Tribolium castaneum: one gene and its partners. The protein of the gene in region 1 purifies or fractionates together with the protein of each later gene. This does not show direct contact. Links are inferred from orthologs where the notes say so. Each region holds a gene or a part of one and is shown on either strand. Other genes may lie near its edges.

Region 1 (4,238 bases):
ATAGACAATTTTTACATTTTTATAAAATGAGTGTATTTACCTCATTTTTAAAAAGAAATCGGAAAAAAATTGACAAAAAGATAAATAATAATCTATAAGTAGGTATTCAGGTTGTATGATGATTGAACGTGCTTATAATTATTGTAACATTATCCACTTGCCTATCGTCTGCTAAAACTTCATGCAGACGTTAGTTTGAGTGACTTAGATAAAAGACTTAAGCCTAATTTATCTTGATGACTTAAATGCTTGTTATCTACTTGTTAATAAAACAATGACATCAGTAAATCGTTTTACAATGTGAGTACAATTAAGTACACACATAAATGATATGAATAGGGTACAAAGTTTTAATTTAAGTCACTTGACTTTTTTTATTGATAGCTGGTGTATCTAAATACAAAAAGTAGTTATAAACATTTGGATAGGACAAGTTGTAGTTATTCTAACGTTTGTTTTCTTTGTTTGTTTGTTGTTATTTTGTATTTCGTATTATTTTAAACTTTTAACTAGAAAAAACTTATACATTTACGGATCAATATTGTGGATCAATGATTCTTTTAGACCAGAATTAAATTAAAATTGCAAGGACTAACAATTAAAAAAATTAATGTGTTTTTCAAAATATCTTTGCAAATGTACATACTATAACTTTTTATTTTGAATTTGCCTCATTAATTGTGGCCAAAAGCCAAAAGATAAAAACATCTCCAAAAGTACATAGTTAAATAATAAATAAGCACGAAAAAACATCGGCAAAGATACTATGAGTTAGTTATGATAAATGTTTTTTTTAAATGACTGTTGTAATTTAATCTGATGAATAATTTTACTTATGGTTTCATAAAATTTAAACCTATTGTAAGATTGCTCAAGTTGGTGGCTTATATGTTGCTAAGGCGATAACATCAGTACTTATACGTGCTGATGTTTAAATTTCACAATCCATAAGGCAAACAATATAAGTATGTCAGTGATTTAAGTAACTTAATGTAATAAACAACTTACTTTTATCATTTTATCGGTGACTTTATAGTTCGTTTCTAAGAAAGATGAAATCAAGGTGAGTATTCAGTTTCACATAATGGATTATTTGAAACGATTTGAAGTACTATTCAAATTCATGGTAAAACTTAATTAAATTAGTTAATAAAGTATAAAAGTTTTTTTTTCATAATCTAAACTAAATACATAGAGTTATTCACTTAAGACTTCACGCCTGATTAGGTAAAAAGTGCAGCACACAATGCACTAGGAGTAGCATGGGTGTAATTGATACAACTAAACATAATTATTTTTTGAATAAGAGCTATCTCCTATGAATAAGAGTAAGCGGCGTATAATTTAAAAAGTAAATGATTTTTTTTGCATTCTAAAAACATTTTTTTTAATTAGGCAACCAAATTTACCTCCAACAAATATTTTTTTTCTATGGTTGGCGGCAGTTTCTTTTTCAATTTCATTTCCAAACGCTAAGTTAGGTTATAATTTTCATTTTTACTTCTGCAAAGTATTGAAAATGGAAAATGAAACGAAAGAAAATGCAAATGCACACGACGATTCAATACTTAAAAAAGGTCGCCATCGAAAAAAGCAACTCTACAATTCCATTTTGCAGCAAATGGAATTTTATTTTAGCGACTCTAACCTCACCAAAGATAGATTTCTATCTCAATTAATAAAGGAGAATCCTTGTAAGTGACTATATGATTATTTTATGAGTAGTTGTAGGTAAATACCAAGCACTTTTTTCAGTTGTCGACCTGAACGTATTTTTGAAATTTAACAAAATTACTAAACTCACAACCAGCATAGATGATATCCAAAAAGCTGTACAAAAGTCGCAGTTAATCGAATTATCAGAAGATCGTAGTAGAATTCGTCGTACAAAACCGGTTAAAGAAAAGGCTAACGTTGATGATTGTACGATTTATGTAGAACGCCTAAAATCCGATGCAACTCATGAATGGTTGAACTCTGTTTTTTCTGAATTTGGAAATGTGGTCTACGTTTCTATACCAAAATACAAAAACAATAGTGCCATAAAGGGTTTTGCTTTTGTCGAATTCGAGAAAGAAAAGGAAGCGCAAAATGCTTTAAATTACTTTGAAAGCATTGGCTGCAAAATGCCGTCAAATACAGAACCAGAAACTCTTTGTAGTATTAAAACATTTGAAGAAAGTAATGAACAATCTGAGGCTTCCTCTAAAAATTCTACACTGAAGCCAAAATCTGGAGAAGACGAAAAGGCAACAAAAAAGCGAAAACTTGAAGACAATAGTGAGAATAGCGAAAAACTAGATAGTGAACACTGTGAGAGTAAAGCGGAGGAAAAAATAAGAAAACGAAAACTTGAAGAAAGTGAATCCGGCGAAAGTGAAGAAAAAGGGAAAAAAATGAAAGTCGATGATAGTAAGCACACTGAAGAAAATGATGAACACAGTGAAAGTGACGAAAAAGAAAAAAATTCAAAACATGATACTGGAGACGTTTCTGAGTCGGACGATGCCGAAAATAAGAAAAAGAAGAAATTGAAAAAAGAACACAAAAAGAAAAATTACATAAAAGAATTGGGCCTCCAAGTGTTATCAAAGTAAGTGAAGCAGCTAGAATTATCTTTAATCATTGATAAATAATTGTTTTTTAGAAAAGAGTGGAAAAAGATGCGAAATCGGTATCTAGATTTACAAAAGAAGAAAATGAAAGAGTTTAAAAAACACCTTCTAAAAGCCAAGTTTAATCAACCAAATTATGAACAAAAGTCGAAAACTCCCACTGCTAAGACTGAACTCAACAAAGAGGATTTTACCAAGGGACTTATTGTAAAAATAAAGCTAACCGAAGCTACCCTGGATATAAAGAAACTTAAGGTAAATTTTCTAAACTAAATATCTTGGCCAATTTATTTGCGATAAATCGTTTTTCAGAATGAAATTAAAACTTCTTCAGCTGATATATTGTACGTAGATATTCCAAACCCTGGCAGTGAGAACATTTATGTAAGATTTAACACCACGGAGGGCGCTAAAAATTTTTGCTCCCAAGAATCTTTTGGCAAAAAAGAGGTATTAACAGGACAGGAAGAATCTTCATATTGGGAAAAAATTAAAACAGATCGTGAGGATAAACTAAACAAAGCAAAAAAGAAACAACGTGGTAGAGACAAACTGTTAAAGAAAGCAAAACATACAAAATTTGATGATTAAGGTTTTGTTTTCAGTTTAAATTTTTTTTAAATATTCTTTATTTATTAACTTTGTCAAACAGTGGCACCATCCATTTCGTGTTGTTTGCTGACATATTCACACAAAAATTTGAAATAACCTGTAGTTCTTATTTTTCATAGATCTATTTTCGTAATAAAAATTTCATACACTTAATGGAACAATTGCCAACCACAAAAAACATTGGTCACAATTTCAAGTCTACCACCTCTTGCCGCCGCCGCCCCCTCCTCGGCCGCCGCCAAATCCACCCCCACGACCACCTCTAAAACCGCCGCCGCCCCCACGACCCCCACGTCCACCGAAATTGCCGCCTCCTCTTCCTCCAAACCCGCCGCGATTGCCGCCCCCTCTGCCACCACCGCGGCCTCCGCCACCCCCACGACCTCCCCCTCGACCGCCTCGTTTCTGGACTGAGCCTGGGGGCTTCGGTAGGAATCTTTGAAGTGGTAACAACTTCGCAGGATCAATAAACAACTGCAAAACATTATTTTAGATGTGTGAATGGTAAGTGAATTTTTTTATACCTTTTGATTCTTTTTAAAACTGCTAGCTTTTATGTCGTCTCCGAGACGTATCGAAACGTAATAATCTCTGAGATTTCCAAAAATTTCATCAATTTTTCCGATTTGTTCCTTATTTTCGAGGTAAATCGGCGCATTGAAAAATGGAACGTCTTCTATTTCTACTTTAGCAACTAAATCATCTTGTACGGTGTAATCGAAGTAGCCCAAAGGAATCACTCTCTCAGGAGGGCCTTGATCATAGTTTCGCCCGCCGCCCCCGCGACCACCAAAACTATTTCTCCCGCCGCCTCCACCAAAATTTCGAGCGCCGCCGCCCCCACGACCACGACCTCCAAAGCCGCCACCACCGCCGCCTCGGCCACGAAAAGACATTTTGTTTCACTCCTCAAATAATTAGAAACGTAAAAGAGCGTCCCTTTGTAAACACGTGGTTTACACTAAATTTTCAGTGCGGCAACATAACCTCTCCTGCAAACGTAACCTCCAA
Region 2 (4,041 bases), on another chromosome or scaffold:
AGCACCGAGGTGAGGTATCTGGAGCACGTGCAGGCGGTGCTAACGGTGAATGCGAGTCGGAGGGGCGACCTGGAGCTCTTCCTCACGTCGCCGATGGGCACCAGGTCTATGATTCTCAGTCGAAGGCAAAACGACGATGATACGAGAGATGGGTTTACGAAGTGGCCTTTCATGACCACGCATACGTGGGGGGAGTACCCGCAAGGGACGTGGGTGTTGGAGGTGGGTGGTTTTTATTAATTTTTTACATTTATTTTTGAAATGTTTGAACTTGATTACGTGGAAATTGGGGTTGTAGGACACAGGATAAATTAAATTAAATTCGTTACGACGTTTCGATACTTTATTGAATATCTTCAGTCAAATTTATTATTATTATTTTTGTTTCAGGCCAGCTTCAATTCGCAGATGCCGCAAACGGGCTTTGTCAAGGAGTGGACTTTGATGCTGCACGGCACAAAGGAGCCCCCTTATACGGAATTGGCGGTTTTGGACCCACATTCCAAGCTTGCTATAGTGAAGAAGGCGCATGAAAATCGAATGAAGATGTAATTGGTCTCCAGTTTTGGTTTATTTATTTGTTAAAGATTTGATAAAGATTCATATATTTTTAAGTAGAGAGTAGCGATATACTGAAATATTTAAATAAATCCATCAATCTCTAACTGTACTGTAATAAAAGCATGTGATTATATAAGAAGTATAAAATATCAAGTAATTATTGGATTTTATTTTTACAAATTGTTGGACAAGAGCTTATATTTTGTATAGCGTTCATTATTCAAATATATATTAACTGAAAGAGATTATTTATTACAGTGCAAGCGATGAATCTCATGCAATTGTACAAAATTGTAAATTGTTTACAATATAAACTTTATTTCCGATTGTGATTTTGTTTGCTTCTGCTGGCCGACAACTGTAAATAAAACTAGACATTTAACCAATTTTTATTGCTTGTTTTATTTATTTAAGATTGCTTCATAGTTTTACAAATTCAAATCTTCAATTCAAACAGCTCGTATCTTTTTTGAGGCGCATGTGCACACCCAACCAGAAGCATGGCATAGATGGTCTCAAATTTATTCGGAGCAAAGACCAATAAATAAAACTACATTTTTACTAAAAAACTTTTATTCAATTTAATCAACTCACACCACGTTTAAATTAGAGATTTTATGGTCGTAAAGCGCAACCAGCAATACACATCCAGAAAAACAGTTTTACAGTATTTTTGCTAATAAATTTCAACATTGAAACCAGTTTCGGTTTTTCTGAACAAACAAAACTGTTAAATTGTTGTTAATTAGAAGTGTATTCCATTGGTATCGTTTCAAATTAATTTAGTAACTTTGCTGCTCAAAATTAGACTGGTAAATCTTCTGTCACTGTTTGCCAACATCAACATAACCCAACTTTCCTATTTGTCAAAACGTACTTTTTACGATGGAAATAAACGACGATTCCAACGAGCAAATGTCGGTCAACTCGGACTCGGACTCCGACTCCGGGGACGACCAAGAGGAGCAAGTAAGGGCCTCCACAATCCTCCAAAATTTTTCTAACTCTAAGAGTGTCTCAGGCCCTCCTCACTCGTGCTGAAGACCTCGAACGCCAAATCTCCGACAACAAGTACCTCTACAATGCCCACGAAGAGCTCGTCAACTTGTACCGAAAACTGGGGGACTTGAAGTCGATGCGTCTGGCGTACGAACGCTTCCAAGAGTACTTCCCCCTAACCCCCGAGATCTGGCTCGCGTGGATCAACGACGAGAAAAAGTTAGCGAGCTCCGAGAGCGAGATTAAGAATATTTTCGGGCTTTTTGATAAAGCCGTGGAGGATTATTTGTGTAAGTTGGTCAGGTAGCCTGAAATTAGATTGGCAAGCCTGACACGTTTTTTCAGCTGTGAATTTGTGGGTGGAGTACGCGCAGTACTCGATTGGGGTTAGCACCCTTGACACGACACGTGTGATAATCGAGAGGGGTTTAACCGCCGCTGGGTTACACGTGGCCGATGGGAGCCTCCTGTGGGACACTCTCCGGGAGCTGGAATTCGCCCATTTGTCCCTGACGGAGGCAGGGAGCGAGCCATGGAAAACCCAAGTGGAAAAAATCGTGGAGGTTTTCCGGCGCCAACTCTCAGTGCCGCTCCTTGACATGGAAAACACTTACAAGGAGTGGAAAGAGTGGCTAACGCAGGTGCAAGACCACAAAATCAATGCTGAACCGGTGGAGTGGGGCTATAACAAGGCTTTGAAAACCTTAGAGACCTACAAGCCGTTCGAAGAAAAACTACAAGTAACAACGGACGAATCGCAACTATTACGAGTTTATCGCGACTACGTCAAAGTCCTAACGGACCCCTCGACAATTTTGTGTCTTTATGAACGCGCAACGGCCCAGATGTGTCTCAACCCGGAGATTTGGCTCGATTATTGTCTCTACGGCCTGAAACTGGGAGCCCCAGCTGAAAAAATCACAACTAAGGCTTTGAGAAATTGCCCCTGGAGTCAAGAATTGTGGATTATGCGCCTACAAGTCCTTGAAAGTCTCCAGAAGGATAATAGCGAAGTTGTCGCTTGTTTCGAGCAGGCTGTGTCAAATTTAGGCGCCCAATCAAGCGAGCTGTGGCTCGCCTACTTAGAATACGTCTCACGGACGTGCCAAGACCAAGCCAAAGTTTTCAAATCTTTTGACCAAGCCTTAGAACAACTAAAATATAACGACGAAGGCGCCCTCAAAATCACAAAGTGGTATTCGAGAATTTTGGCCAAAAATAACAACATGCAAGGGGCGCGAAACCTCTGGAAAAACCTACTCAAAAGCCCGAACCACAAAATCCTGGCCAACACTTGGCTGGAGTACGCGCGGCTTGAACGCCAGTTCGGGGAACCCCCGCAAGTCCGCGCCATTTTCCAGAAAGCCCTAACCAATTGCACCGACTGGCCCCTGTTTATCGCCGACGAATGGCGTGAGTTCGAACGCGAGTTCGGTAAACTACCCGACGTTCTAAAATGCCTCGAAAAACGCAAAGAAATCGAACCGAAACTAAAAACGATTGAGCCGCCGAAAGCCACCGGAACCAAACGAAAACACCCGAGCGAAGCCGAACCCCCGCCTAAGAAACACAAAAAGCAGGCGGTGGTCAAAGACCCGACTCGCACAATTTTCGTCAGTAATCTACACACTAGTGTGAATGAAAAACGACTGAGGAAATTCTTCCCCAATTGCGAAAATGTCGAAATTGTGGTCGATAAGCGGGGGAAGTCCCGGTGTTATGGGTACGTGCAGTTCGCCCTTGAGGAGAGTGTCATGGCGGCGCTGGCACGTGACCGGGAGCTGCTTGACGGCCGCCCTATTTTTATTTCCAATTGTAAGCCGAATCGTGAGGAGCGGAAAGCCGGCTTTAAGTACTCGAATGAACCCGAGACCAATAAACTTTTCGTTAAGGGACTCCCCTATGACAAGTCGCAGGAGGAAATTGAGGCGATTTTTCGGCCTTTTGGGGCGAAAACCGTGCGTTTGGTGTGTCGGCGAGATGGTAAGCCAAAAGGACTCGCGTATGTTGAGTTTGAGGACGATGCAAGTGCTAAGAAAGCCATGGAAAAGACCGATGGGATGACAGTCGGGGACTTTACCATCAGTGTGGCAATTAGCGCGCCCCCTGTCAAGAAACCAACAACAGTTGCAAAAAGTACACCAACACGGCATGCACGCAGCCGATTACAAGTCCCGATGTTACCGAGGTCCTTGCAAGTCAAGAGTGCGACGAATGGTGATGTCAAACCGAAAACCAATGATGATTTCCGATTGTTACTTCAGAAATAAAAGCGATTCAAACATATTTATTCAACAACTCTCTACCTCTAGATACAAATGAGGTAACCGCCCTCAATATGCTGGCAGTGGTGGGTGATTTCGCACATGTTTCTCCTGTTTGAGTGGCTGAAAATTATCTAAAAAATATATACGATACACAAAATATTGCTTCGTTCTCTCTTATTTACAATACGTGATTTTGTACTTGTGACGTTTGAGC
Region 3 (4,043 bases), about 2.4 Mb from region 1:
TCTAATGTGTTCGAAAATATGTTCGATAAATACGACGAACTAGGTTGAACAGAGTTAAAGTTTCCACATTGCAAAAAATCGATTTCTCTCTTAACATCCCTAAAATTAAATATAAAAAAATGTGTATTTAAGCACTTATAAAGTTCAAAATCATTTTTTATACAGAATAACCCATTAAAACAAGCCACACGAGTTTTTATTTTTTTTAAGATTTTCCTAATAGAAACATAGGTTGATTTAATATATGAATTATGTTGGTGTTAAAATTTATTTTGCGATTAACCCGTGAATCAAAGCATCTGATTGAAATTACTCTTAAACAGAGTGTCTCTACAACGCTTTGAACCCGAAATTCGCCAATTTTGAGACATTCTGTAGGTATAATAACTTGTTACATTGGTGAGTTACGTCTGTGAATTTTACGCAAGATGTTTATCTCAGAACTTTGAAAACATCATTTTTAGACTTACGTATACCTTTTTTACACTCACTGAAACAATTAAGTACTTAATTTATTATATCAGGCACTCTAAAACTAACCCCCATTGCTATGTGGTAGAAATAATGATAATAGTTAAATAAAGTTTGTATGGGACGCTAATGCTCTAATAAACAAAACAATTCCAAAATAAGTGAATTTTAATCTGCTTTTGTCTATGGCTTTTGTTAAAACAGAAGTCACAAATGAAGTTGCGATGTGTGTCTTAAAACTGTATTTCCAAAATTCGCTTTTTTGGGGCTTGTTGTACTCACCCATTATTCTCCTTGTCGAATTTTAAGAAATCTGCGTTCAAGTTTAGCTGATCCATTTCTTATAATTCCAATTTAAAGCAATTAGAAGAGCTTGAAGGAACTTTTGTAACTAATGCAAACAGATTTTTCACAAAAACTACTCACATAGTCAAAAGCACACTTTATCAAGTAATAATAAAAAACAAACAATCATTTCAATCAGAAAATTTAAACGTTTAAATTTTTGAAAAAATTTAAACACAAAAACAGGCTAGTGAATGTATTTTGTTTAAAAAATTGTTAAAAATTGAATGTTGATGGATTTTCATTTGACTAATTATGGACAAACTGTCATAGCTTTCTAGATTCAAGTGAACAATATTCATAAATTTGCGATAATGATTTAAATTCAGCTTAAAACATTATTTTAGTATCAATGCCAAGAAAACCATTTTAAATTTTGAATTGAATGGAAAGTAAGACTCATGCGCACAAAATTCTATTTTTTTTATAAACGACTGCAGCGTCACCTGACGATTAAAACTAGCAAAGGTATTTTTTTGTTTTAAAGCTACGCGGTAAATTTGAATGATTCTCTCAATTTTTACATTAAAATGTGATAAGTGCGAATTTACTTTCAATAATATTCATTGCTAGCTTCAGTAATTAGCGCCTGGAAGGTATGTCAAGATTACAAACCAGTGTCACAATTTTTGAGGTTACGTTCAAGTCAAAAATGTGGTGATTTTAGCGTCAAAACCATGATTGACGAAGAAGCCCAATATGACGCCCTTCTGGGGGGCTCCGAGGAGCTCCCTTCGAACATCTCCTTATCGAAATTCGTGGCTTGCCGCAGCCAAGAAATCCAAATCATGAAAAACTCCCTCCTGACCCAAACCGGCTCAAAACTGGCCTTCCAAACTCTACCGAAACACATGAGACGCCGGGCAATGTCCCACAACGTCAAAAGACTACCACGGCGTCTCCGCCAAATCCATTTAAACCAAATGAAAAAATCCGGAATGCCAACGCAACAGAAGCGCCCCTCTCGCAAATACCGCCGAAAACCGCGAAACCTCCTCGAAGAATACACCAAAAGGGCCAATAAGAAGTACAAATGGTTGCAAACCCACATCTGGCACGCGAAACGGTTCCACATGGTGGAGAAATGGGGCTACAAGTTGCCATACCACGCTTGTGATAAGGCCTTCCGTGCCTGCTACAGGGCAATGACCCAACATTGCCTCTTACAGGACATTTCCTACTACAGTTGTGTGGAAATCCACGGCGATAAAAGCGAAATTATTGAAAAAATTAAACTCCTGTGTAAGCCAGGCGAGGGTTTAAGTATTGGGGCGAAAGCCTTTTCTGAGGGTAACCGCGAGGGTGAAATCTGTCTCTATGATTCGTTCCAAAAAGCCATCGGGAACGTCATGTTCCAGTGGCAACCCTCTATTGACGAAAAATGTAAATTGTGGTTGTGGGTTCATGCCGCTTTTTATTCAACCACGAAAAACACACTAGTTGAGTGTTTTAAAAACTGCCAGATCGAAATAAACGAACTTAGACTTGAGTTGAGCAGATTTAGACTCAGTGGGCCTTTATCTAATCCAGTTCTTCAAGATGCGCTTGCTTTGATCGACATTTATGATATTAAATTAGTACCAGAGTCGCCTCTTAAAAAATACATTGATTGGCCGGAGAATAAAGCAGTGATTATAAATCAGTGCGAGTTTTGGAAAAAACTAGCCTCGGTGGCATCCCTACATGAGGTTTCCCCCCACATCGTGTTACCCTTGATTGTGAAAGACCCCCGATTGAATCTTCCAAAAAAGCGCATAAAAAGTGTTTTAACTTTCGGGAAATTGGAATTTGATCAAATTCCTGTGAACATTTCCGCGAATCCTTTATGGGACAAGACCATCAGAACGTACTCAAATGAAAATAAAGTGTCTGACTCAAAAATTGTTGACTTGCAAAGTGGTTTACTAGTCCCGGGGTCTGATTTAAAAGGGACCATTGGCCACATTCCAATTATCCTGATCCAAAGGCCAGGGAATAAAACCCAGAACGTTGGTTTAGGGAGTGGATGGGATGTCATCCTACCAACGGCTTGGGCCAAACCGTTTTGGATTGCCTTCGTTATGAGGGGAGCAAGGGTTGGGGGTTTGAGGGAATCAGACTCAATGCTTTACGAAATGGGAAAGTCACAGTTGCTTCACCCGGACACGGACGCAGGTTTTGAGGAAGAACTGAGACATTCAAACCAGCACAGGGTTACGTTTTTCCAAAAACCTCCAAATAAACGAATCAATTACAGTAAATTTAAAATCGCAAGTCCTTTGCTTTGCAATTGGAGGCTTTTGCTCAAGGACTGGAACAGTGGCTTTACGGGCGAATTTTCAGTCCTCAGGGACAAAAAACAGCTTCATTCGATTAATGTAAATTAATTGTCTTTGTAAAAAGTGAACTTTAAGTTTTGATTGTTTTAGGCTTTTCTCAATTCTAAGACACACCCGGTGCCACAGTGCCCCCAAAATTGCCTCATTCCTGTTAGACTTGAGTGTGAGAAGCGGGGCTCACTGGCCGAGTATGCCATTATTTGTGTCCCGAAATGTAAGAGTGATTTGAGCGAAGTTTTGTTGGAACCGAATTGCGAGGATGTAAATAAGGAAAAGCGGAAGGAATTGAGACGTGCACATCAAAGTTTGTTGAAAAAATTGCGGAAGAAACGCAAATTAAAGTCGGAGCTTGCGGTAATGTCGGTTTGTTTTAATCGAACTTGTTGATAAGTCTGTTTTAGTCGGATGATCACAGTGAGATTTTACGCAGTTATACGGAGAAAATGAGAGCGCTGTGGCTTCCTGAGCCAACTACCATAAGGCATTCGTGTAGCAGAGAAGTTGTAGGTTTTGTTTCGAAAGGCGGTTTTAGTTTTTCGATTGGGAAAAGCGCAGGGACGGGTTATATAACTAGCGATTGTTTATCGGAGTTGGTTGATTTTAGAAATAAGGTTTTGTTGAGGAATACTAATTCTCGGCAATATAAAACTGCGAATTTAAGCGTCATTGTAGAGTGACTGGCTGAATATAAATTTATTACAGGAAAACGTTTATAATTGCTATTTACAAATACATACCCACATGGGGAGGCTGCAAATGCCGAATTTTTTTGAATAAAAAATAATGCAATTTCTTATTGCTGTATAGGAATTTCCAAAATATTTTATTGGAGGCGTGCAGCCGTTTTTTAAATAATCAATTTACGGAATGGTAATAAGTGTTGTTACACTAAATTGCCGATTTACGCTC
Region 4 (3,699 bases), on another chromosome or scaffold:
ACGTCCTTGCGAAATACCCCTACGAGACTGATCCAGTGGTGGCACAAGGTTGGCGCTTTCTCGACCTAAAAATCCCAACTTTCGCCAGCTATGTGATAGGAAACGGCATCGAATTTTGTATCAATTTCCGCCTGTTTCTCTACATGTTTATCCCGCTTTTGTTGGTCAAAATCGCCTCACGCCAGGATTGGAAAGGCACGTACCAAATGTTGATCCCCCACTGTGTGACCCTGAGCTGGCTCCAGGTGTGCATTGTGAGCTCCGAGGGGGCCACAATGTACGGCCTGTTGCGCGGCAGCTTGGCCTTAGTGGGGGTGGTGCTGTTCCTGCCCCTAGTGGGGCTCACAAGTGTGATACTCCCCGCAGCTGCGCTAGCGAAATGGGTCGTGGCTTCGAATTTTTTTCTCGGGGTTTGTGTCTTCGTGGGGGCCACCGGGTTAGGCCTGGCGGTATGTTGGGTTTGTGCCCAAACGAGGTTCAGCAAAATCACCGCTTTTATTCAAGTCGTTTCGACGATTTTTGCTGTTTTAACCCTCATTAAGTCAAATTACAAAAATGAGGAACACTATTTTGAAAATAAACTACCCGAGTATTTGTCGTGGGACGTTTATCAGCGGTTTTGCCACCAGCCGGTGTGGCAGGAGGAAAACATCGCAATTGCTCAAGTGAAGTGCTCCGAACTGCACAACTCGCACATCAATTGGGACGGTTACATCAACGATATTAAAATTTCGTCGATCTCGAATAAGTTCCAAACGATTATTGATCACTTCCCTGTGACTTTGCGCCATTATCTTTACTGTTTTTACGGGGAAGAGACTCGAAATGATTGTACTGATTTCCCCCCCGCGGTTCGTGAAGAGTGCAGCTCGTTCTACAATGCAATAAAATCGACTAAAACGTGTTCGCTTCAAAAATACAATTCGTACACGTTTGAAATAACAACGAAAGTGCAGTCAGCGATTTGGGGCAAAAGCCCCGAAGTCACTCTTGTAGTTGACGATTATTTTCGAAATTTCACCCTGGGGCTTAAGCCAAATGACCACATTTGGTTCAAAGGCACGTTGTTTAATAACGAGGTTGTGGGGTCCGATGGGATTTTAGGGGGGTTCAAAACCCATGTAAAATTGGACGAAATTGGTTGCCTTGCGTGTAGTAATAATAAACTGACGAATGTTAAAAAAGAGATTGAATCTAGATTTGATATTAAGAATGTTATTGATGGTCTCGTTTTGGGACTCAAGTTTGTCCTCAATGTTATTTTAAGTCCAGTCGTAGTGTTTAAGTGATTTGTTACGTAACTTATTGAGAATTGTATTTATTTATGTTAATAAATGTAAGAGATTATTTAAGTTGTGCGCCAGAATTTAAATTTTCGTCAGCTCCACCACTACACTGCCGTAAAAATTACCAGCGAAATCGCGCAAACACGTGTGATTGTGATGCGTGCTGTTATAGAATTTAATTAATTTTAGCCCAATTTTATGCCTAATTATGGTAAGAATTCAATATTGCATAACTAGAACATTGCTAATTGCTCGTTTTTTGGAACAAGCAAAGTTATAGCAATGTTTGTAAATATAACCTCACTCTAGCGCCGCATGTTTTTCAGTCTAAACTTTATGTGTTATTCGAGCACGCTGCCGGCTATGGGGTTTTCAAAGTGCAGGAATTTGAAGAAATCGGTATGCTGCTGCCCCAGTTGGAGGCAGCCGTGCACGACCTAGCCCGCTTCAATAGCGTAGTCGAACTCGTTGGTTTTTCGCCGTTTAAAACAGCCATTGCGGCTTTAGAAAGCATCAATGCAATCTCGGAGGGTGTTTTACCCGAAGATTTGCTACACTTTTTGGACATCACAGTCCCGAAAAGTAAGAAAAAGAATAAGCTTACGTTGGGGGTGAGTGACCCCAAGTTGGGGGCTGCCATCACCGAAGCGCTTGGGATACAATGTAGCCACGTCGGAGCTGTCCCGGAGGTAATCAGGGGTATCAGGCACCATTTCCATAACCTTGTGAAAGGTTTCACTCAGAAAAGCTCAGCCGTGGCCCAACTGGGGCTCGGGCATGCATATTCACGAGCCAAGGTCAAGTTTAACGTCCACAGAGTTGACAATATGATAATACAATCCATAGCTCTTTTGGACCAACTCGACAAAGACATCAACACTTTCTCGATGAGAATTCGGTACGATTTTGCGAATTGTCCAAATTTTCTTTCTAACAAGTGTATTGCAGCGAATGGTACTCTTACCATTTCCCGGAGTTGGTGAAAATAGTCCCCGAGAACTACACCTACGCCCGTTTGGCAAAATTCATCAAAAACCGCAAAGAACTAAGCGAGGACTCTCTCGAGGGCTTGGAAGAAATCACGATGGATTCAGGCAAAGCCCAGGCGATTTTGGACGCCTCCAAGTCCAGCATGGGCATGGACATAAGCGTTGTTGATCTACTGAACATCGAAATGTTTGCCGGCCGGGTGATAGCTCTAGCCGACTACAGAAACCAACTTTCCGAATATTTGAAGACAAAAATGACCGACGTGGCCCCAAATCTGGCCAAACTAATCGGCGAACAAGTGGGGGCGCGCTTGATCGCCCACGCTGGGTCTCTGACAAACCTTGCCAAGTACCCGGCGTCCACGGTTCAGATCCTCGGGGCTGAAAAAGCCCTTTTCAGGGCTCTTAAAACCAGGGGGAACACCCCGAAGTACGGCTTACTCTTCCACTCCACTTTCATAGGGCGAGCTGGGGCTAAGAACAAGGGGCGCATCTCGCGATATTTGGCGAACAAGTGCTCGATCGCATCGCGAATCGACTGCTTCACTGAACAACCGACGCAGATTTTTGGCGAGAAGTTGAGGCAACAAGTTGAAGACAGGCTCAAGTTTTACGAGACAGGGGACGTCCCCAAGAAGAATATCGAAGTCATGAAGGAGGCGATGGAGGAGTTGGAGCAAGAAACGGCGCACAATAAGTCCGAGAAGAAGAAGAAAAAGAAGAAACATAAGCTGAACGAGACGAGTGAGTCTGTGGGAGAGAATGGCGTGGACCAGACGACCAATGGGAATGCAGATGAGGCGGAGGAGCCGCCCAAAAAGAAGAAGAAGAAAAATAAGCAGGAAGTTGAGTAATTGTTTGTTTGAGAGTCGGGTATTTTTATTCTTGTATAATCTATTATTTTTAAATAGATACTTGATCAAATTGAGGTCGTAATGCTTAAACCTGTTATCCTACCAATAAAACCATGGGTAATATTCACAACAATTTATTTTATATGTTTTTACAATAAACTAAATGAGCGGAATGTTCAAACAGTTACTAACTGTAACATGGATAGTGTTATCGATAATAAGGCACCACGGTATCGCAACCTTCAACGAAAAAGAAAAAACTGCCGATAGGTCGAATTTGTTTTTATTTTATAGAAAATTATTAACAATGCAATATTGCTTTATCTGTTTGCTAACAGAGCCGATTTTGCTGTTCCTACAAATTAGTTGTATAAATAGTTGCGTAATACTAAATAAAATATGAACAAACTTAAATGTACCCAGCACCCTCATGAGCATTGTAATACAACCAAACGGACTATACAAAATATGTGCAAGAAAACCGTTTTTAAAAACTATAAACGCAAGACCAATTGGCTCAATCTCAACGATTAAAGTACAATCTTTGGAATTTCGAATAAAAATTAGGTG
Region 5 (2,664 bases), on another chromosome or scaffold:
GTAGAAAAAATCGAATGTCTACAATGATTGTCTGGAAAGTTTTGTTTTATTACTGCAACTTAAATTATTTTGCATGATTATGTTCTCAACCCCCAACAATCTCCCTTGCTGCGCCACTGAACTATATTAAGGAGGTCTGAAGTGGAACTGAACGCAAAATTTGAAATTGAATTTTTATGAAAAGTATTGCACAAAATAGTTTCATTACAACTGGGTGTTGTTCTAACGTTGAATCATTCCCGAGTTTAAAACGGTTAGAAACGTGATTTGTTTATTTTTCTATAAAAAAATTAAGTTCAAATAATAATAATAATTTATGAAAAAAAAAACATGGCTTAAAATTAATTTTTTTAAAGTAGAAGTTATTTTTAGAACATAATCTTTTACCAAAAAAATCGCCATAGGAGGAAGCCATTTGAAAAAAAAATTAATAACACGTAGACTAAAAGAAATTTCAAAAAATTTTATTCTTAAAAAATTATCACATTTTTAAAGTAGTCGATGACTTAATAATTAGTTTTTTCGTAAGGTACATAGTTTAAGCATAAAATGCTTGGTTCCATACTTTTGCCCAACGTTGTATATGAATTTGAAAAAAAAACTTCTATGTCATTAAAAAATAAAATGAAAAAGCCCATTTTTTGGTCATTTTTTTTTTATTAAAAAATGGTACATAATTTTTTGATAAATTTTATTAGGAGTGTTGTACATGACTTATTTATGGTACTGTATTTTTTCAAGCCATTTCAACTTTAACTTTTTCCATAAAGCATTAAAATTATTAAGCTGTTTAACCCGTTAAAACTTGGTCACAAATATTTAAAGCGAAATAAGAACAAATCTGTGAGGTAATGATTTAACCTAGGAACAACAGCCAATTGTAAAAAAACGATTTTATTTATTATTTTTCTTGAAAAAATTAAATCAAAAAGTTTCAGATTTGTGCTATAATAACCCAACTTTTCATGACACTTTTTCCAGGTTTGTGTGCGACAACTTGAAGATGTGTCAACACTCGCCCAGTGTGCAAATGCACGACGTGCCAGGAGACGCAATCCCTGAAGAAGACAAAGTCAAGGAAGAAGAAGACCCTGATGTTAGAATTAGTCAAGAGTTGGAAGATAAGATGGTCGAGGCGAAAAATGAATTTTACGACGGAGATAAAGATAATGATAAGGAAGATATGGAGACATGACCTGTATTTAAGTGAATAATTTAATGAATAAGATTTTTATTTAAATTTGGCGCGTCATTACGATCGTTACCGACTAATCCCGACCTTTAATTTTCCTTTAAATTAAATAAAAAACAATGAGCGGTGGTCTAGTTCCTAGCAAAAGCACAGTTTACGTCTCGAATATCCCCTACGAGCTTAAAAACAACGACTTGCACAAGCTATTCGAAAAGTACGGCAAAATCGTCAAGTGAGTAAAAGTGAGGTTAGGTTGGTTTGTTTATTGCACCCCTTTTTTATCAGAGTCACAGTTTTGAAGGATAAAAACACACGGAAAAGTAAAGGAGTTGCGTTTATCCTATTTTTGAAAATTGAAGACGCTTTAAAATGCGTCGAAGAAACGAACTTGAGAGAGGTAAGGCGGTTTTGAATCTTCGTTACGGCTGACTTTTTTGCTAGATGTTTGGGCGAACGGTTAAGGCAAGCATCGCAAAAGACAACGGCCGGACGACGGAATTTATCAGACGTAAAGACTACCCCGACAAGAGCAAGTGTTTCGAATGTGGTGAAAGTGGACACTTGAGTTACAAATGTGCGAAAAATATCCTTGGGGAAAGGGACCCGCCCCCCAAAAAAGTCAGGAAACGCAAAAAGAAAGTGGCAACTGAGCTTACAGAGGTATTCACATGAAAAAAATGAAACAACAAATTGAGATTTTTTTAATTTATCAGGAACAGAAGGAATTTTTTAATGATTCGGAGTCCGACAATGAGCAAATTAAAGACGACGATGAAACTTTAAGTGCGGCGATTGCCTCCGAACTGGAAAAACAAGAACTTGAGGAATATCGCTACAAAGTCGCGACGGGTAATTATGACGATGAGACGGCCACTGAACCACCGAGGAAATTAATTAAGAAAAGCGCCTATTTCAGTGACGAGGAAGAAAGTGATTAATTTATTTATTTATAATAAAATGTTTTGAAAACTAGGGAATTTTTTCTCGCTTTGGTAACTTTGCGTGCGCAGCGTTGGACCCTTTCCGTCAAGTGACATTTCCCGAACGTGTCAAAAAATACGGCACGTTTCCCATCCGTTAATTTCTGACCAATCCGTAAGTATTTTTGCAAAAACAGCCCCCGAGACAACGCCCCCCGCACCACCAGACACAATTTAAGTGATAATTCCAACCCCTGGTGTTTATTTTGTTATAGGGCAAAAATGGCGATTCGTCCCGTTTACAGGCCTGAAATTGTTAAAAAACGAACGAAAAAGTTCATCAGGCACCAGTCTGACCGTTATGGCAAACTCAAAGTAAGTAACGGCGTGAAATAGGCGAATTGTGAGCGCCCTAACCTCAAATTTCAGCGCAACTGGCGCAAACCCAAAGGTATCGACAACAGGGTTCGTAGGCGCTTCAAGGGCCAGTTTTTGATGCCCAACATTGGCTACGGCTCCAATGCCAAAACGAAGCACATGCTACCCACAGGC
Region 6 (2,235 bases), on another chromosome or scaffold:
GCATGTTTTGTCTGTTTTTTGCCTTTACAAAACTTCGTATATTTTTTAGGAAGCCTAAAAACTTGAGGAAAATCATTCTTTCGACCAATATTGCCGAGACTTCGGTCACAATTGACGACTGTGTCTTCGTGATCGATTCGGGTCGAATGCGTGAGAAGCACTTCGACCCGAACCGAAACATGGAGAGTCTGGAGACCGTGTGGGTGACCCGCGCCAATGCCCTGCAACGCAAGGGTCGAGCAGGCCGTGTGATGGCCGGCGTTTGTTTCCACCTCTACACCAGTAACCGTTTCCGCCACCAGATGCTCCCCCAACCCATCCCAGAAATCCACAGAATTCCCCTCGAACAACTCATCCTCAACATCAAAATTTTGCAAAACTTCGAAGATCGTGACGTTTGTGACGTCATCGACGGTCTAATCGAGCCGCCTTTGAAAGAGCACGTGGAGACGGCGATTGTTCGTCTCCAAGATGTTGGAGCCTTAGACACCGAAAAACAATTGACGCCGCTTGGCCACCACTTAGCCGCCTTGCCTGTGGATGTGAGAATTGGAAAATTGTTGCTCTATGGGGCAATTTTCTCGTGTGTGGACTCGGCGTTAACTATGGCGGCGTGTCTGAGTAATAAAAGCCCGTTCGTGACGCCGTTCCGTAAAAGAGACGAGGCAAATGAGAAGAAGAAAAAATTTGCCGTGGGGTATAGTGACCACATTACTGTCCTGATGGCCTACAAGAAGTGGCAAAGTGTGTACAAGAAGAGTAGTCTAGCTGGGCGGAATTTTGCAAACGAGAATTTCCTCTCACAAAAGACTCTTGTAACAATCGCCGATATCAAGCACCAGTTTTTGGAGTATTTGGTCGATATCGGGTTCATTGCTGCGAATTTGGACGGGAAAAGGCGTTCAGGGGACGATGATGTGTTAGCAATTACCGGAAACGAGGTATAACATCGAAGGGCGTGCCTGGCTGGGCCACGCCCTCGTGATGTTCTCGCTTAATTCTTTTGTAGTTTAACAGGAACGGCGAAAATTTCAATGTTTTAGCGGCAATTTTATGTGCCGCTCTCTACCCCAACGTGATAAAAGTCCTAACTCCGCCCAAATCGTACGTAAAGACCGCCGGAGGGGCCATTCCCAAAGACAACGAAGCGAAAGATTTCCAATTCCAGACCGTTAAAGAAACCGTTTTTCTCCACCCCTCATCGGTGAATTTCTCCGCGAAGAATTTCCCAAGTCCTTATCTTGTTTATCAGGAAAAGGTTAAAACCAGTAAAGTGTATTTCAGGGATTGTACCGTGATTCCTGTCATCTCCCTTGTGCTCTTCTCGGGTTTTGATCTTGATATCAGTGTAAATAATGGCTGTACGTTTATTTCATTAGAGCGCGGATGGATTATGTTCCAAGTGGAGGAACACAAGGTTGGTCGGTTTTTTAGTTGTTTGGGTTGGCAGTAATGTGGTTTACAGATCGCAGAAATGATTAAGATGTTGCGAAGCGAGTTGTTCATGCTGCTGGAAGAGAAAATCAAAGATCCGTTACTAAATATCTGGCATCATGATAAAGGAGAAAGGATTATTACGACGATTTTGAACTTAATCAACTTGAAATAGGATCGGAGTTTTGTTTCACAAATAGAGATTTTATTTTGTAAAGCGTTCTTTTTTATTTGATTTGTAAGTGGATTATGCCTGTTTGTTATTGTTGTGTCGAAGAGGAAATAAAATTCTATTTTGTTATACGCATTTTTATTTCGTAAAAAGTCCCACAAAAACAATAGAACTAATTAAAGCAAGTCGTATCGTTCATAAAATGAACGTACCTACAGTCCGTAAAGTGTACAAGTGTACACAGTATTTAAAATTAATTTTGAGAAATTGCAATTTCCTGAAAAAGGAAATATGGTTTTCGCCTTCATGTTAAAAATGGTGGATGCGCCGGGCTATCGACACTCCATTTTACTCCAACAAAAAATGCTATATGAATAATTGAATTATTAGTATCAGTTTCTGTAGACACGCACGATAAAGAAGCTTATCATTGTTGCCTGTCGTTATTTTTTTATTTTGCACTTAAATTTTTTGGAATTGTGTTCGGTTAAATGCGTTTTTATTCCGCAAAAATAACCGCGTGCCCGCTGAAGTGGCCCATAAAGAAACAATAAAGGAAAATCATGAGAGTTTTGAGGAAAAATTTGCCGAGTTATGAAAGTATCCACCTTTATCTTTACTTTTATGCG
Region 7 (3,935 bases), on another chromosome or scaffold:
GAAAATTTTCATTTGCAGTAGTTCATTTAAAAAATCACAACTCTTGAAACTTTTACAATAAATAAATAATTATATTAGTATTCGATAACCAAAGGTTCAAAGGGTCTTTTCAAATTTTCAGGATTGTCAAATGTCAAATTGCAAGACTACTATGATTTTTTGAAATTGATCAAAAAGTAATTATAACAGTTTTTTCAAATTTTTGAATGGTAATCAAAAGGATATCGATTTTTATGGAGACTTTTATCAATATCTCCTATATCTATCTCTTATACTTTTTAAAATAATCTCAAAAAAAAAAGACCAAAAGCTCATTGTTTTCAATTTTAATCGAGTAAACTTTCGAAAAATACGATAAAGTTGTGCTATTAAATAAAAGTACTGCTTATTTGATAATAAATCAACTAAAAACTAAATAAAAGTTGGACAGTTGTTGACCATTTTGCAAGGTCTACTTGATTAACTATGAAAATTACGAAGTAAAATCCGTGTTTTTTTTTGTAATTATTTCTAAAAATGTAGGAAATGGGTATAGGACGTGTTCATAAAAGTCACCATAAATATTGATGTTCGATTGCTGTTAAGAAAAAAGGATCGTTCCATTTGAAAGACTGAGTTATAGCCATATTTTGCCAAAATCATACTAGCCTTGAATTTTGACAAATGACAATTTTACAAAAATTCAAAAATCCCTAAATCGATTAAAATAATATTTTTTATTTAAAAACGACAAAAAGGGGGCAATTACAAAAAATAGTACAAAGATCTTTTAATTTACTATTAATTAATTGATTACAGGAAACTGGAAATTGTGGAGAAAGCAATCAGTAAAAGGAACGAAAAGAATGGGCGAAGAAGTTCCGATGAGGACAGGTCAAGGAGGGACAAAAAGCACTCACGGCATAACAATGATGACTACAGACGGGACAGGAAGCGAAAATCTGATGATTCCTATTATGAAAATAGCAAAAGAAGACGCTCTTAAGTTTTTGTTGTACATTTCTTAGAATTGTTGTGATTATAGGGATTATCATGATACTTGTAATAATTTAGAAAACGTAATATATTTTTAAACGTATTCCACCGAATTTTATTTATAAATCCCGCCAACTTTAGCGACAGGCTGGCTATTGGTCCATTTTCGCGCAGGCGCTTAATGAGTCGCCATTTTGTAACGCAAGCTTGTCATTGATTTTCCTTGAAAGTGTTTTGAAACGAAATAAGCCAAAGCAACAAGCATTGGTGCTAGAAAATGGAACAGATACCAAGGACTCATGAAGGTACGCTGTTTTTTGCACCCAAAAGCCCGTTTCATGACTTTTTTGCGTCTCTAGACATCGAGGCCCAAATTCGTGAAATCCAGTCTAAAAAGAAGGAAATTCCGGTGGAAGAGGAGCGAAACGAGAAGGGTGTAGGTTTAGGCGAGAGTGGCTATTTTGATAGTGAGATCTACGATGGGGGCGGCGGTAAGGGTAAATACGAGGGTTATGTGACCTCGATCGCCGCCAACGATGAAGCCGATGAAGAGGACGACGATGTGGGTTATAGTCAGAAACGGACCGGACTGGGGGCCCCTGTGGCGCTCCTCAATGATGTCGCTCAGGTGAGATTTGTGTTATTTAAGTTTTGTGGTAGTTAACTGAGTTGTTTAGAGCGACAAGGATTTTGATCCGTTTGCTGACAAGAGGAGGCCCACGATTGCCGATCGAGAGGACGAGTACAGGCAAAAGAGGCGTCGGATGATTATTTCACCCGAACGTGTTGATCCGTTCGCTGACGGTGAGTAGTTGATTTCGTCCAAGTATTTATAGCTCGTTTTTCCACTTGTTTATGTTTTATATGAAATTTGAGATAATGCTGTTGCTGTCGCTTATCTCAAGTTTTGTATGTTATTGGGGTATATGAAAGATAGCGAATGGATGCATGAGTGAGCAAAAATACTCGAGAAAGTAGGCATTAAATAAAAATCAGTACAAAGAAACTAATTTGTTCTGTATTGGATTCCAACATTTAGGGGTGTCTTCCTAGAGAAGTAATCGCCGCGATTTTAATGGATCACTTCCGTAAAATGTAACGTTGGTAAACGAAAATCGAACAAGAGTGAAAGAGTGTATGCAATGTATAGAAAATTATTAATTACCCCAGCCTATTTCTAGGTTCGATTTGACCAGTTGTTTTGCGAGAAACTGCCTGATTTGTGATGGAGCACAATCACACGTACGTATCAAGATTTGTTCGCCAAATTCACTCCCTTTCAATCCCCAATATTCGAAAAATAATCAGTTTGAGTGAATTGTGGTGCAACCAAATCTTTCAATCATTCAATAAAGAACAGATACTAAATAGAAAAGTCTGACCATTTTTTGCCAACAAGTGCTTCCGTTTACTAATTGGCGTTTTTCAACGCTGTTATGTTTACAGGTGGCAAAACACCAGACATCAATGCCCGCGGTTACACCCAGATTATGAAAGAGCAGATGCTCAAAGGAGAAGAAAACGAGGTCAGTATCAAAAATTTATCACCTAGCCAATTTTTTTTCGTAATTATGTCCGGCAATGGAGTCCTTTGTTAACTCAAAGTTGATTTCTTTGACCACTTGTAATTTAATTTCAGTTGAGGAAAAAAATTCTGGAAAAATCCAAAGACGGTTCACTCAAATCAACAAACGGTGAGGTAAAGAGCGCACCTAAGAAACGGGGGCGCTGGGACCAAACCGTAGACGAAGTCGTCGTCCCCAGCAAAAAGAAAACTCTCTCCGTAACGACCAACAGTGCAGCTGCTACCCCCATCTGGGATGCTGACGTAACAATCCCAATTTTTTAAAACCAATTATTAATAAAAAAATTACAGAAAACTCCAGCCGACCACCGCTGGGACGAAACCCCCGGCCACAAAGGCAGTGAAACGCCGGGCGCCACCCCCGGCCAATCCACCCGTATCTGGGACGCGACCCCCGGGGCTGCAACTCCAGGTCGCGAAACGCCCGCTCATGACAAGAGTGCCAGTCGTCGAAACCGCTGGGATGAAACACCCAAAACCGAGCGTGAAACTCCGGGACATTCGAGCGGCTGGGCTGAAACCCCGCGCACCGACCGAACCGGAGCCGACTTGATTCACGAAACACCGACTCCGGGAGCGTCCAAACGCCGCTCCCGTTGGGATGAAACTCCCTCTGTTCAGACACCGTCGGCGCACATGACTCCGGGTGCTATGACGCCGCAAACGCCGCACGGAACGCCAAGCCATGCCACTCCGATGCTGACTCCGGGCGGGTCAACTCCGGTCGGAGTCAAGGCGATGGCCATGGCGACGCCCACTCCGGGACACTTGGCGTCCATGACTCCGGAACAACTCCAGGCCTATCGATGGGAGCGGGAGATTGACGAGAGGAATAGGCCGTATTCGGATGAGGAATTGGATGCGATGTTTCCGCCGGGGTACAAGATTTTGGCACCTCCGGCTGGGTATATACCCATCAGGACGCCAGCAAGGAAATTGACAGCCACGCCCACACCCATGGTTAATACTCCCCAGGGATTTTTCATCCAACAGGAAGATAAGACAGCCAAATATCTGGATAATCAACCAAAAGGGCAGAATTTGCCGTTCATGAAACCAGAAGATGCGCAATATTTTGATAAATTATTGGTCGATGTTGATGAAGAAGCTTTGAGTCCTGAGGAACAGAAAGAACGGAAAATAATGAAACTACTCCTAAAGATCAAAAACGGGACCCCTCCCATGCGAAAAGCCGCCTTGAGGCAAATCACAGACAAGGCTCGAGAATTCGGTGCAGGGCCCCTTTTTAACCAAATTTTGCCCCTTTTAATGAGTCCAACTCTGGAGGACCAAGAACGTCACTTGTTAGTCAAAGTCATAGACCGAATTTTGTACAAATTGGACGATTTAGTCCGTCCCTACGTCCACAAAATAT

What was found.
Region 2: the proteins of Larp7 (region 1) and Rnp4F purify together in Homo sapiens (affinity purification with mass spectrometry; 4 studies listed by BioGRID and IntAct, counting the BioPlex papers as one, with this or other methods). This does not show direct contact. The link is inferred for Tribolium castaneum from reciprocal best matches to the Homo sapiens genes LARP7 and SART3.
Region 3: the proteins of Larp7 (region 1) and Pop1 purify together in Homo sapiens (affinity purification with mass spectrometry; 3 studies listed by BioGRID and IntAct, with this or other methods). This does not show direct contact. The link is inferred for Tribolium castaneum from reciprocal best matches to the Homo sapiens genes LARP7 and POP1.
Region 4: the proteins of Larp7 (region 1) and Nop56 purify together in Homo sapiens (affinity purification with mass spectrometry; 3 studies listed by BioGRID and IntAct, with this or other methods). This does not show direct contact. The link is inferred for Tribolium castaneum from reciprocal best matches to the Homo sapiens genes LARP7 and NOP56.
Region 5: the proteins of Larp7 (region 1) and zinc finger CCHC-type and RNA-binding motif-containing protein 1 purify together in Homo sapiens (affinity purification with mass spectrometry; 3 studies listed by BioGRID and IntAct, counting the BioPlex papers as one, with this or other methods). This does not show direct contact. The link is inferred for Tribolium castaneum from reciprocal best matches to the Homo sapiens genes LARP7 and ZCRB1.
Region 6: the proteins of Larp7 (region 1) and putative ATP-dependent RNA helicase DHX57 purify together in Homo sapiens (affinity purification with mass spectrometry; 3 studies listed by BioGRID and IntAct, with this or other methods). This does not show direct contact. The link is inferred for Tribolium castaneum from reciprocal best matches to the Homo sapiens genes LARP7 and DHX57.
Region 7: the proteins of Larp7 (region 1) and Sf3b1 purify together in Homo sapiens (affinity purification with mass spectrometry; 4 studies listed by BioGRID and IntAct, with this or other methods). This does not show direct contact. The link is inferred for Tribolium castaneum from reciprocal best matches to the Homo sapiens genes LARP7 and SF3B1.

Annotation. Positions count from the first base shown.
Region 1 is NC_087394.1:30,502,011-30,506,248, reverse strand, and holds the start of Larp7 (la-related protein 7), read left to right. Parts: upstream 1-1,438; 5' UTR 1,439-1,519; coding exon 1,520-1,694; intron 1,695-1,755; coding exon 1,756-2,593; intron 2,594-2,647; coding exon 2,648-2,870; intron 2,871-2,927; coding exon 2,928-3,206; 3' UTR 3,207-3,425; coding exon of another isoform or gene 3,426-3,701; 3' UTR 3,702-3,751; coding exon of another isoform or gene 3,752-4,123; 3' UTR 4,124-4,238. Other genes in the region: Gar1 (H/ACA ribonucleoprotein complex subunit 1), read right to left, coding at 3,426-3,701, 3,752-4,123. UniProt on the Homo sapiens protein: RNA-binding protein that specifically binds distinct small nuclear RNA (snRNAs) and regulates their processing and function.
Region 2 is NC_087396.1:21,413,768-21,417,808, forward strand, and holds Rnp4F (squamous cell carcinoma antigen recognized by T-cells 3), read left to right. Parts: upstream 1-1,241; 5' UTR 1,242-1,446; coding exon 1,447-1,530; intron 1,531-1,582; coding exon 1,583-1,850; intron 1,851-1,905; coding exon 1,906-3,830; 3' UTR 3,831-3,846; downstream 3,847-4,041. Other genes in the region: amon (neuroendocrine convertase 2), read left to right, coding at 1-222, 391-552. UniProt on the Homo sapiens protein: U6 snRNP-binding protein that functions as a recycling factor of the splicing machinery. Promotes the initial reassembly of U4 and U6 snRNPs following their ejection from the spliceosome during its maturation.
Region 3 is NC_087394.1:32,928,348-32,932,390, forward strand, and holds Pop1 (ribonucleases P/MRP protein subunit POP1), read left to right. Parts: upstream 1-1,243; 5' UTR 1,244-1,412; intron 1,413-1,462; exon of another isoform or gene 1,463-1,483; 5' UTR 1,484-1,493; coding exon 1,494-3,173; intron 3,174-3,224; coding exon 3,225-3,488; intron 3,489-3,535; coding exon 3,536-3,811; 3' UTR 3,812-3,841; downstream 3,842-4,043. Other genes in the region: zinc finger protein 774, read right to left, coding at 1-99, 754-809. UniProt on the Homo sapiens protein: Component of ribonuclease P, a ribonucleoprotein complex that generates mature tRNA molecules by cleaving their 5'-ends. Also a component of the MRP ribonuclease complex, which cleaves pre-rRNA sequences.
Region 4 is NC_087395.1:14,127,801-14,131,499, forward strand, and holds Nop56 (nucleolar protein 56), read left to right. Parts: upstream 1-1,362; 5' UTR 1,363-1,494; coding exon 1,495-1,497; intron 1,498-1,612; coding exon 1,613-2,184; intron 2,185-2,234; coding exon 2,235-3,129; 3' UTR 3,130-3,199; downstream 3,200-3,699. Other genes in the region: wfs1 (wolframin), read left to right, coding at 1-1,289. UniProt on the Homo sapiens protein: Involved in the early to middle stages of 60S ribosomal subunit biogenesis. Required for the biogenesis of box C/D snoRNAs such U3, U8 and U14 snoRNAs. Part of the small subunit (SSU) processome, first precursor of the small eukaryotic ribosomal subunit.
Region 5 is NC_087401.1:11,244,715-11,247,378, reverse strand, and holds zinc finger CCHC-type and RNA-binding motif-containing protein 1, read left to right. Parts: upstream 1-1,242; 5' UTR 1,243-1,311; coding exon 1,312-1,424; intron 1,425-1,477; coding exon 1,478-1,589; intron 1,590-1,633; coding exon 1,634-1,852; intron 1,853-1,905; coding exon 1,906-2,130; 3' UTR 2,131-2,164; downstream 2,165-2,664. Other genes in the region: HDAC3 (histone deacetylase 3), read left to right, coding at 982-1,195; RpL32 (large ribosomal subunit protein eL32), read left to right, coding at 2,395-2,487, 2,542-2,664.
Region 6 is NC_087402.1:3,960,466-3,962,700, reverse strand, and holds the end of putative ATP-dependent RNA helicase DHX57, read left to right. Parts: intron 1-49; coding exon 50-941; intron 942-1,009; coding exon 1,010-1,417; intron 1,418-1,465; coding exon 1,466-1,609; 3' UTR 1,610-1,735; downstream 1,736-2,235. UniProt on the Homo sapiens protein: Probable ATP-binding RNA helicase.
Region 7 is NC_087395.1:16,040,245-16,044,179, forward strand, and holds the start of Sf3b1 (splicing factor 3B subunit 1), read left to right. Parts: upstream 1-1,135; 5' UTR 1,136-1,252; coding exon 1,253-1,280; intron 1,281-1,334; coding exon 1,335-1,603; intron 1,604-1,652; coding exon 1,653-1,779; intron 1,780-1,784; exon of another isoform or gene 1,785-2,217; intron 2,218-2,421; coding exon 2,422-2,501; intron 2,502-2,614; coding exon 2,615-2,803; intron 2,804-2,851; coding exon 2,852-3,935. Other genes in the region: corepressor interacting with RBPJ 1, read left to right, coding at 799-985. UniProt on the Homo sapiens protein: Component of the 17S U2 SnRNP complex of the spliceosome, a large ribonucleoprotein complex that removes introns from transcribed pre-mRNAs.